Oryzias latipes: one gene and its partner. The protein of the gene in region 2 interacts with the protein of the main gene of each other region in a pairwise test. Links are inferred from orthologs where the notes say so. Each region holds a gene or a part of one and is shown on either strand. Other genes may lie near its edges.

What was found.
Region 1: the proteins of lemd3 (region 2) and smad9 interact in binary tests that used the Homo sapiens proteins (3 or more experiments, as listed by UniProt). The link is inferred for Oryzias latipes from reciprocal best matches to the Homo sapiens genes LEMD3 and SMAD9.

The regions. Positions count from the first base shown.
Region 1 is NC_019872.2:10,262,733-10,267,186, forward strand, and holds the start of smad9 (mothers against decapentaplegic homolog 9), read right to left. Parts: upstream 3,069-4,454; 5' UTR 2,663-3,068; intron 1,860-2,662; exon of another isoform or gene 1,834-1,859; 5' UTR 1,678-1,833; intron 824-1,677; 5' UTR 490-823; coding exon 294-489; intron 1-293. UniProt on the Homo sapiens protein: Transcriptional modulator activated by BMP (bone morphogenetic proteins) type 1 receptor kinase. SMAD9 is a receptor-regulated SMAD (R-SMAD).
Region 2 is NC_019881.2:11,313,615-11,317,434, reverse strand, and holds part of lemd3 (inner nuclear membrane protein Man1), read right to left. Parts: intron 1,782-3,820; coding exon 1,603-1,781; intron 1-1,602.

The DNA of each region.
Region 1 (4,454 bases), on a different chromosome or scaffold from region 2:
ATGACAAGTTTTTTGGAAAAATAAAAATAAACTAACTAAACCAACAAAAACATTGAAGATTCCCCCCCCCCTCTAAAATGTAAAAAAGATATTTACTGCGCTAAAACACAATTGCACTTTCTTGATTACTGCTGGTTTTGACATAACTAACCAGTAAAATATATATGATTTTTTTTAGATAAAAATGCTAGGGAATAGAGAATAATTCATCCTGATCCAAATCCTTTTTTTGGTGTGTTTTTGTAATGTCTCCAGCACATTGACTGTCATCGCTGCAGGTCTGTGACACTCACTGGGCTGCCCGGGACAGCTCAGGGCTCTCTCCAGCTCCTCCATCGCTCCTTTCTTCTTCTTGAGTTTCTTAACAAGAGAATCGACAGCCTTTTCGGCCCACTTCTCCTCCTCGTCGCCTTGCTTCCAGCCAAGCAGCCGTTTCACTGCCGGGCTGGTGAAGGAGAACAGGGACGTAAAGGACGTGGAGGAGTTCATTTTGAGGGCGAAGCACAGTCGGGGAGATGAACTGATAGGTCAAGTTGGATTAGAGTTCCCTCGAGGACAGGAATTTATCGACCACAACGTAAAAAACAACAACAAAAAATGGAGGCAAGATTAAAAGAGCTGACGTGCTGAGTCAGGGCAGATGTTTTTGTTTGTATTCCTCTGCTTTTTTTCCAAGCAGCTTTCAGTGAAGACGCTGGACTCCAGCCAGCTCCCAATCCTGTCTCTGTGCCGGCACAAAAGGGATCTGGCGGCTCTGGATTGAGCCTCCTGCTGGGAAGGTTATTCCTCACAGAGCCAGAAGCCCAGGTCAAGTTTCAATCATCTGAGGAGAGACAGGAGAGACTGCATCAACGTACTGGAGTGAGGAGGTGTAGGACGGTCAGGTACCACAGAGAAGATGAGTGCAGCAGGAGCTTCAAGTCCAACTCCGGTAACCTTTTTATCTATTTTCAAAGCGTACCCAATTTTAATTATGTCATTTTTAGCCAAAAAAAAAACTGTGTTGTTTGACATAGTTTCTGCAGAGCGGCAGTTCATTAGAAATTCACCTCTGAGTTGTGGGTGGGACCGTTGGAATGAAGTCACCCCGCCCCTACTTCCCATCATCCATCTGTTCACATGCTCTCCCGCCATCTTACAGCGACTCACAACCCTAAGCTAACATCACTGGTGCAACAAAAATAATGAACAATACTGGAGTCATTCAGTTCTGATCCGGATCCCAGCTCAGACGAGGAAAACGAAGACGTGAATTAATCTAGTCGTCTACAAGAGGATGCATATTTTCCACCAAACAAATACACTCTTTTCCCAACTGCATTTCTTTGTTTATTCCTGATACATAATGATTTGAAAAAAGAAATACTCAGAAATTCAATTTTAAGCTTATTTTTCTTCATATATGTCCTCCATCATCAGGAAAATGCTACAAGAACATGTTCAAAACACCAAGTGTGTGGTGGGTCTTTAACCTGTTGTAAGTGGCTTTATAAAAAATGTGCAAAAACATGGATTTCCATAATCATGAGGCTTTCTCGGTGTGGTAACACTTCAAACTGCTCTTCCACAAACTACACAATGGCAAAGGTCTGTATGGAGTAAAAAAAAAAAACACTCCAGAGAATAATTCCAGAAAAAAAGCAGACCAACGTGGCCAAAACTCATTTCTAGATTCACCGCTGATGGGGGAACGTCCTTTCTGGCCTCTGTTTCTGTGATCATGCCACTGACGCCCAGGAGCCATTCTGTCTGGCCAGAACACATCACAGGACAGGAGGGGGAGAGGGAAACCGGGAGGGAGACTTCTGCTTGTGTCTTTGCATTTCAGCCGTCCTGGAAATGACACAAATGGAGGGGTGCTGGAGCAGCAGACCCCCAATGAATCTCTGTATCTTCAGTGGTTAAACAATATCTGGTTTTGAGCATTTGCACATGATTTTTAGATGCAAATTTTGACTGCATGTCTGAGCACGTTTTTCATTGAAGCGCTGCAGAAATGTCTCAGGTGAGTCTAAAATGATGACAGGTAACATGACTTCATGAAAGCACCGGCACAATGCGGCCACCACTGGCCTGTCCACTGCAGACAGACAGCTGAAGTTTTTACAATGACAGCAAAAGCGCCCCAGCTCAGTGCAGGATCAGTCCATCGCTGCTGCTGCTTTATGGAACCCTGGCGTCAGCGAGTCTGCAGCCTCAGATAGACTAATTACCTAATGCTTTATCGCTAGTGCACCCCTTCCCAAAAAAGTAAACACCAGGCTTCCTTTTACTATCACTCCATGCGGTTATTTCCCCCCGCAGTCAAATCCAGATTCTGCTAAAAAATAAATAAATAAATAAAGTAAACACACATTTGGTTTAAAAATGTGCGATCACCATCAATTGTTGATTTTACTAACTTTTTTCCCCCTGACTTTTAAAAATTGCAGTTTTTTTAAAGCCAACTTCTGTTCATTGCTATACTAAGGTAATTTTTTTAATTGCAATATTTCGTTTCAATTTCCCCCACTTACTTATAAGCACTACCTGATAGGAACATCTTGCGCAAATTCCCAAAATAAAATCAAAGTTCAGATGACAAAAAGTTCAAAATACTACTTTATAACAAGATACATAAACTATTTCCCTCTGCAAATAGGAAGACGGTTTGTTTCCTCACCTCTGTTGTGATAACAAGTGCACAGAAGAAGGTCGTGAGTGTGGCAGCTTCCCCGTCAAGTCAGAGTTGTGGAAGTGCGCGTCTGCCTCGAGTGTGTTGTGTCTGTCTGTCCACGCGGGAGTGTAAAGACAGCGTCAACGGGAAATTGTTTGAAATCCTTCCTTTCAGAATAAAAGCATGTGGCTTTCGTTCTTGAGCCAACGTAGATACGTTTTTAATGATGAGAAAAGATTGCTTTTTTGTGTGATAATTCTCACTACACCTTAGACAACTATACAACAATAGACAACTACGTAAAAATGTTTAAAAACTAGTTTTACCAACTTTTAAAATGTGCACTACAGTCAGCTTATTTACTAACCATAAAAACCCTAATTGTTAAAATTATTTTTGCCTTATCTATAAGAATGAATTCAACAAAATCAATTTAAAAAACCGTCTTACTAGACGTACTCTTTGTTCATTTAATTTATGGCCCACATGACTTCAGACGTCTTTTTTTTCATGAGAATATATATTTTCTTTTTTGTTTTTAATTTTAATATTTGCTGTTTTGTTCAAATTGTATTAAAATATGATACATGTTATTATTATAAAATAGTATTTATTGTATTCCTGTGATATTTACTGTCATTATCTGTTGTTTTTATTACTGTTGTTGTTTGAGCTATTATAATTACACTAACAAACAAAAAATGTAACTATGAAATATAATCTAGTTAAACAGCTGTCCTGACAGTGGTGCCAAGATTTGTTTTGTCTTGATTGATTGATTGATTGATTGATTGATTGATTGATTGATTGATTGATTGATTGAATGAATGAATATTAAAACAGTTACACAGAATGGAGTGGAAGTTTATTAATTTAAAAAAAATCTTAAACTGTGACTCAAGTTTCAGTGTTAAAGAACACGTATGTCACAAAATGCTCAAATCGATTCTCGCAAAAATTATTAATTCATTCATTTTCTTCCGTTTGTCCCTTTCATGGTCACGGGGCTGCTGGAGCCTATCCCGGCCACTTATGGGCAAAGGTAGGGGACACCCTGGACAGGTCGCCAGTCTGTCGCAGGGTCACACACACACACACCCATGCACACTCACGTTCACACCTATGGACAATTTGGAGTGACCAATTAACCTATGAAGCATGTTTTTGGACGGTGGGAGGAAGCCGGAGTCCCCTGAGAAAACCCACACACCCCCAAAAATTATTTTTGGTATAATAAAGTGTTTACATACTGTAACGGAAGTTGTGAATTTTGCTTTTTATTATGAAGGTCGAGTTTTCGTCGCTTCCGGTGTGACTGTCCATGGCGCCTTTGACGCAGGTTTGAAGAGCTCCGGCTCCCCTCCTTCAGCAGCCACAGTGGAGCGCCGCGCAGCCTTGGAGGCGTCAGTCTGACTGGAACCTCAGCGCTTGTTTGCCAGATCCCTCCGCCCTCTCTATGCTGGAACATTCCCAGGTTTTCTGGGATTTTAGTTGTAGCGCCTTCTGCGCGTGCAGCAGCGCGCGCTTTCCCGCGTTTCACCTGTGTCACGCCCAGACTTTCATTCATTCAGTGTTGAGGCATGGGATGACGGAACGTCTGTTTTATTACTATCTGGCTTTTCATAACGTTACTTTTTATCATATAAAGTCGCGTTGTTGTTTTGTCTGATGGGATAAACATTTAAATTCTTAGATAAACAGTTTTTGCACGCAACAATATTAGCATCCAAATAGAAAATTTTTACTTTCTTTACGTCACCATTCAACAGTGGAAAGTGAGAAAACTAACCGAGAGCTT
Region 2 (3,820 bases):
GAAGATCCTCCTGGACGATGGCATCAGCACCAGGCAGAAGGTCTCTGCGTCAGCCAGGACGGCGCATAGACGCCTCCTACCTGCCAGCGCTGCAGAGAGCAGACTGGGAACACTGTGACCACGTTCAGGAAAAAACCCCAATAATACATTCATGGAGCTTCTTTGGCAAACTGAGCAGTTATTCAATCTGTCCATCAGCAGTCCTGGACTGAATTGTTTTCACAATTCTCTTCTAATTCTGTGCCTTTGAGCAAAAATTTGCGCCCGCCAAAAACTCACCAAAATCAGCAAACACCTAGTACCTGGTGTAAGCCGGTGGTGTTCACACCTGACACACATTTTTTCTACTAGCTCTGGTCTGCTTATCTGTCACCTGCAGTGGGATGAAACTTGATGTGAAAAGTCAAAGTGGGGGCAAATGTCGCTCCTGGCTTTTTGTTTTCTCAGCTCCGTTTCTATAAATGTTCATCTTGGTGTCATATTCTTCCGGCCGGACACAAAAAGCAAATATTCGTTTCTCCTTCATCTTTACAACGGTTGCTAGGCTACCTCCCTGGTCTAAAAAAAAGACTCGACCTACACGTCACTATCAAATCCGAGTCCCCGATTGGTCACAGTGATGCGATTCAGCGGGAAGAAGTTCAACCGGTTGAACTTTCAGCGCACTATCAATGAACACCGTTCTGTACGCAGAGGCCGTGGCGGGACTTAAAAACGTGTGCAGCAACGCGCGATCACAGACGTTCCGGACGAAATTCTGGTCTATGAACAAATGCATAGACTTTTTATTTAAAGGTGGTCGCCTGAACGCGAGTTGACGCTGCTTGTGTGAGCATACTTTAGAGAAATCCAAGGTTTAGAGATTATTATGGGATGGTCACAGGACCTACAGCTCAGAGGCCGTTTTTTTGGCAGAGTGTAAAATTTGACGACTTTCCCCATTCTCTCACATAGTGAGAAAAAGACTTTTGTTCGAGTAATCTTCACGAAATCTCACATAGACGCCATCAGGGTGATACTACAACCACAACCAAAGTTTTGTTGACCTTTCACCTTGGATAAAGCTGCCACCTAGAGTTAAAAATAAATAAATCACCTATAGCAGCAGCAGCAAATTTATATACCTAAGTATTTTAATCTTTCACCATCTAACTCCTCGAGCATCATGGGAAACTATTGTTTGTTTAAAGTTTGTAGATTTTGAGCAGCTTTGGCGTGGCGAGCTTACAAATGTGGCGTTTCCATGCCGGTAGCAAATCTTTAACTGGAATATCGTGAAAATGTAAAACATGAATCGTTGGCTCAAGCTAAACAAAACAATAGACAATACGATGTGGACATATTAGGAAAGTGAGAGCAGTTTACAAAAAACTTCTGTTGCCAAGGAGATTCAAAAATTCTTCTACGAAATTTGACATTGATCTGTTTGAAAAAATGATACGGTTGCTATGGAGACAAAACCAACAGAAAAGCTGCTATTTTTCTAAATGAATTTTTCAGTTGGAGCTCTGACCGGGGCGGCAGGGGCAATGAGGTGCATACAGCCAGTAAGGGGGGGTCAGGAGTGGGTGGGGCTGGGTAGGGCCCCAGGACATGGATTACCTTGTCCCTGCCAGACCTTGGAGGGCATGGGGTTGGCTTTGTCACAAGACAGGGAGGGTTGAATCCACCTCCAGACCAGGAAGTCGGCCCCTCCAATCCTCTGCGTCTCTGTTCGGATTCTGGACTCGTTGGCTGACAGAAAGCAGACGGCCCGCCCCCAAATCTTCTTCATCTTCTTCCTGTAATTCAGTTGCAAATCACACACATAAACATGAGCCCATCATTCCCTGTTCAGCGTGTGACAGTCACCTAGACAAACAGCAAGGAGGATGTTAGAGAGGTTTTTTTATTTTAAAGTAGTATAGGTCGATTCGATTCTGCCTTGGACAGACCGATCTGCTTGGATCGTAGGAATAGAAATAGATTTATCCCTAGTTTTGATAGAAAAACAAACAACCTTTCACTTTTAAGGAAAACCGATATATGTATCTTTAAAAAAACTGCAGGATTTTCCTGGAGAAGACGGATTTGATTGGATTTAAATCCAGATTACTGTGCTTCAGACACACGGGAACCCCATGATGCCTCGTGCCTGCAGTTTAAACCCCCGGCAACTGAAGGATCTGCAGCTCCTGGAGGAGGTGCAGGCAGGACAGACAACAACAACAACAACAAAGCTGCAACAACTTATTCCAAATCGATAAAGTTCACAGTAAAAGCTGCAACGGCTTGATTATCCAGGAGGGTAACTATGGAAGGAAAGTGAGTGGAGGAACTGCAGCTGAACACAGTTTCTGTGCAGATGGAAGGAGACGTCAAAGGCTCTCTGTACAAAACCTTCAGCTTTGCAGCTGCAGAACCTGAATGTTCAGACCTCATGCTTTGTTCTGCACAAGCATCAAGAATCATTTTACTAAAGGAGAGAAATTCCCACCAGCTGTTTAAAAATCCATTTTTGTTTTTGGTGTGTTTTACATATTTTTGTTGCATTTGTCTGATAATGGAGAACATATCTATATCTAGATATAGATATATATAAAAAATTAAGATTAAAGGGTCTATATGATGCTAGTCTTAAGCCTTTGGGAGTAAACTGTATCCATATATATGATATTACCTTTGGGATTCTAAAGAATATTTTTTTTAATGAAGGGAGTTGTTTTTGCAGGTCATTTTCCTAAATGAAAATAAGACGACTCGATCTCTGAGGCTCCGCCCTTCCCTCCTTGTGGGTGCCGCCCGTTTCATGACGTCAACCTCGGCAGCGTGTCTTCATGTTGATATGATAACCAGCTGTCTGATGTAAACAAGGCTTCAAATGCTGCAGATTCTGCTTCAAATATTAATTTTGTTAAACATACTTTAAAAATCTTAAAGCGATGTCCAAAAACAAAACAAACATTCCAAGTAGTTGCACCAAAATTTCTACCTGAATTCTTAACTGTGTAGCTAAAACAGGCGACTGTGATGGAAGTGGCAGACGTGAGTGTGCGGATAAAAAATGCTTAAAGTTCCATAAATAACTTGGTTGCCGGGTAGAATTGGGAAGTTTGATCTGATCAAATCCCTTTTCTGATATCATAAGCTCCACGCTCCAGTAAGAACACAGAGCTACTGTTAATGCAAAAGCAGTTTATGTAAGGGTTAATGGCCGACGACGTGTGCATTATCACTTTTTAACTCACGGCGTTGAAGCCTGAACCGTCCTCCCCTTCCGCGAAGTGCGTTAAAAAATGATAATGCACACTTGGTCGGCCATTAACCCGCTTATACCATGGTGACTTACAAAAGAAATAAATATTATCCAGTTTTTAAGTCCGTAATTCTTGTTCTTTTTTTCGATTTGTATCGCTTTTTTTCCAGAAAAGCGAACTGTTTGTTATGTGGTGCGACGCGTTGTCACGGTAATGTGACATGGCGTTGCACCACCGCTGCGGTCGAGATTTGGCGATATAAAGCGATAAATATATATATGCTGATCGTCCCGATGGGTTAAATAAAGCATCAGTTCAGAGAGAAAGTTCACCTCTTGCCGCTTTTTTTTGTCCAGATGATGAAGCTAAAGGTTGTTTTAAAGAAGCTGGCAGTCATATAAAAGATTTAAGATATGTGACCGGAACTTCTGTTTGGGGCGTGCGGTGATCAATTTCTGACGCACACCCAGCAGCCAATCAGAATCGAGTATTGACTCGAACCATGGTATAAAACTTCAGAACCTTCTGACCGGCTGAAAGTCTGCTGAGGTACTGAGATCTCAAAGAAAATAAAGAATTAGATG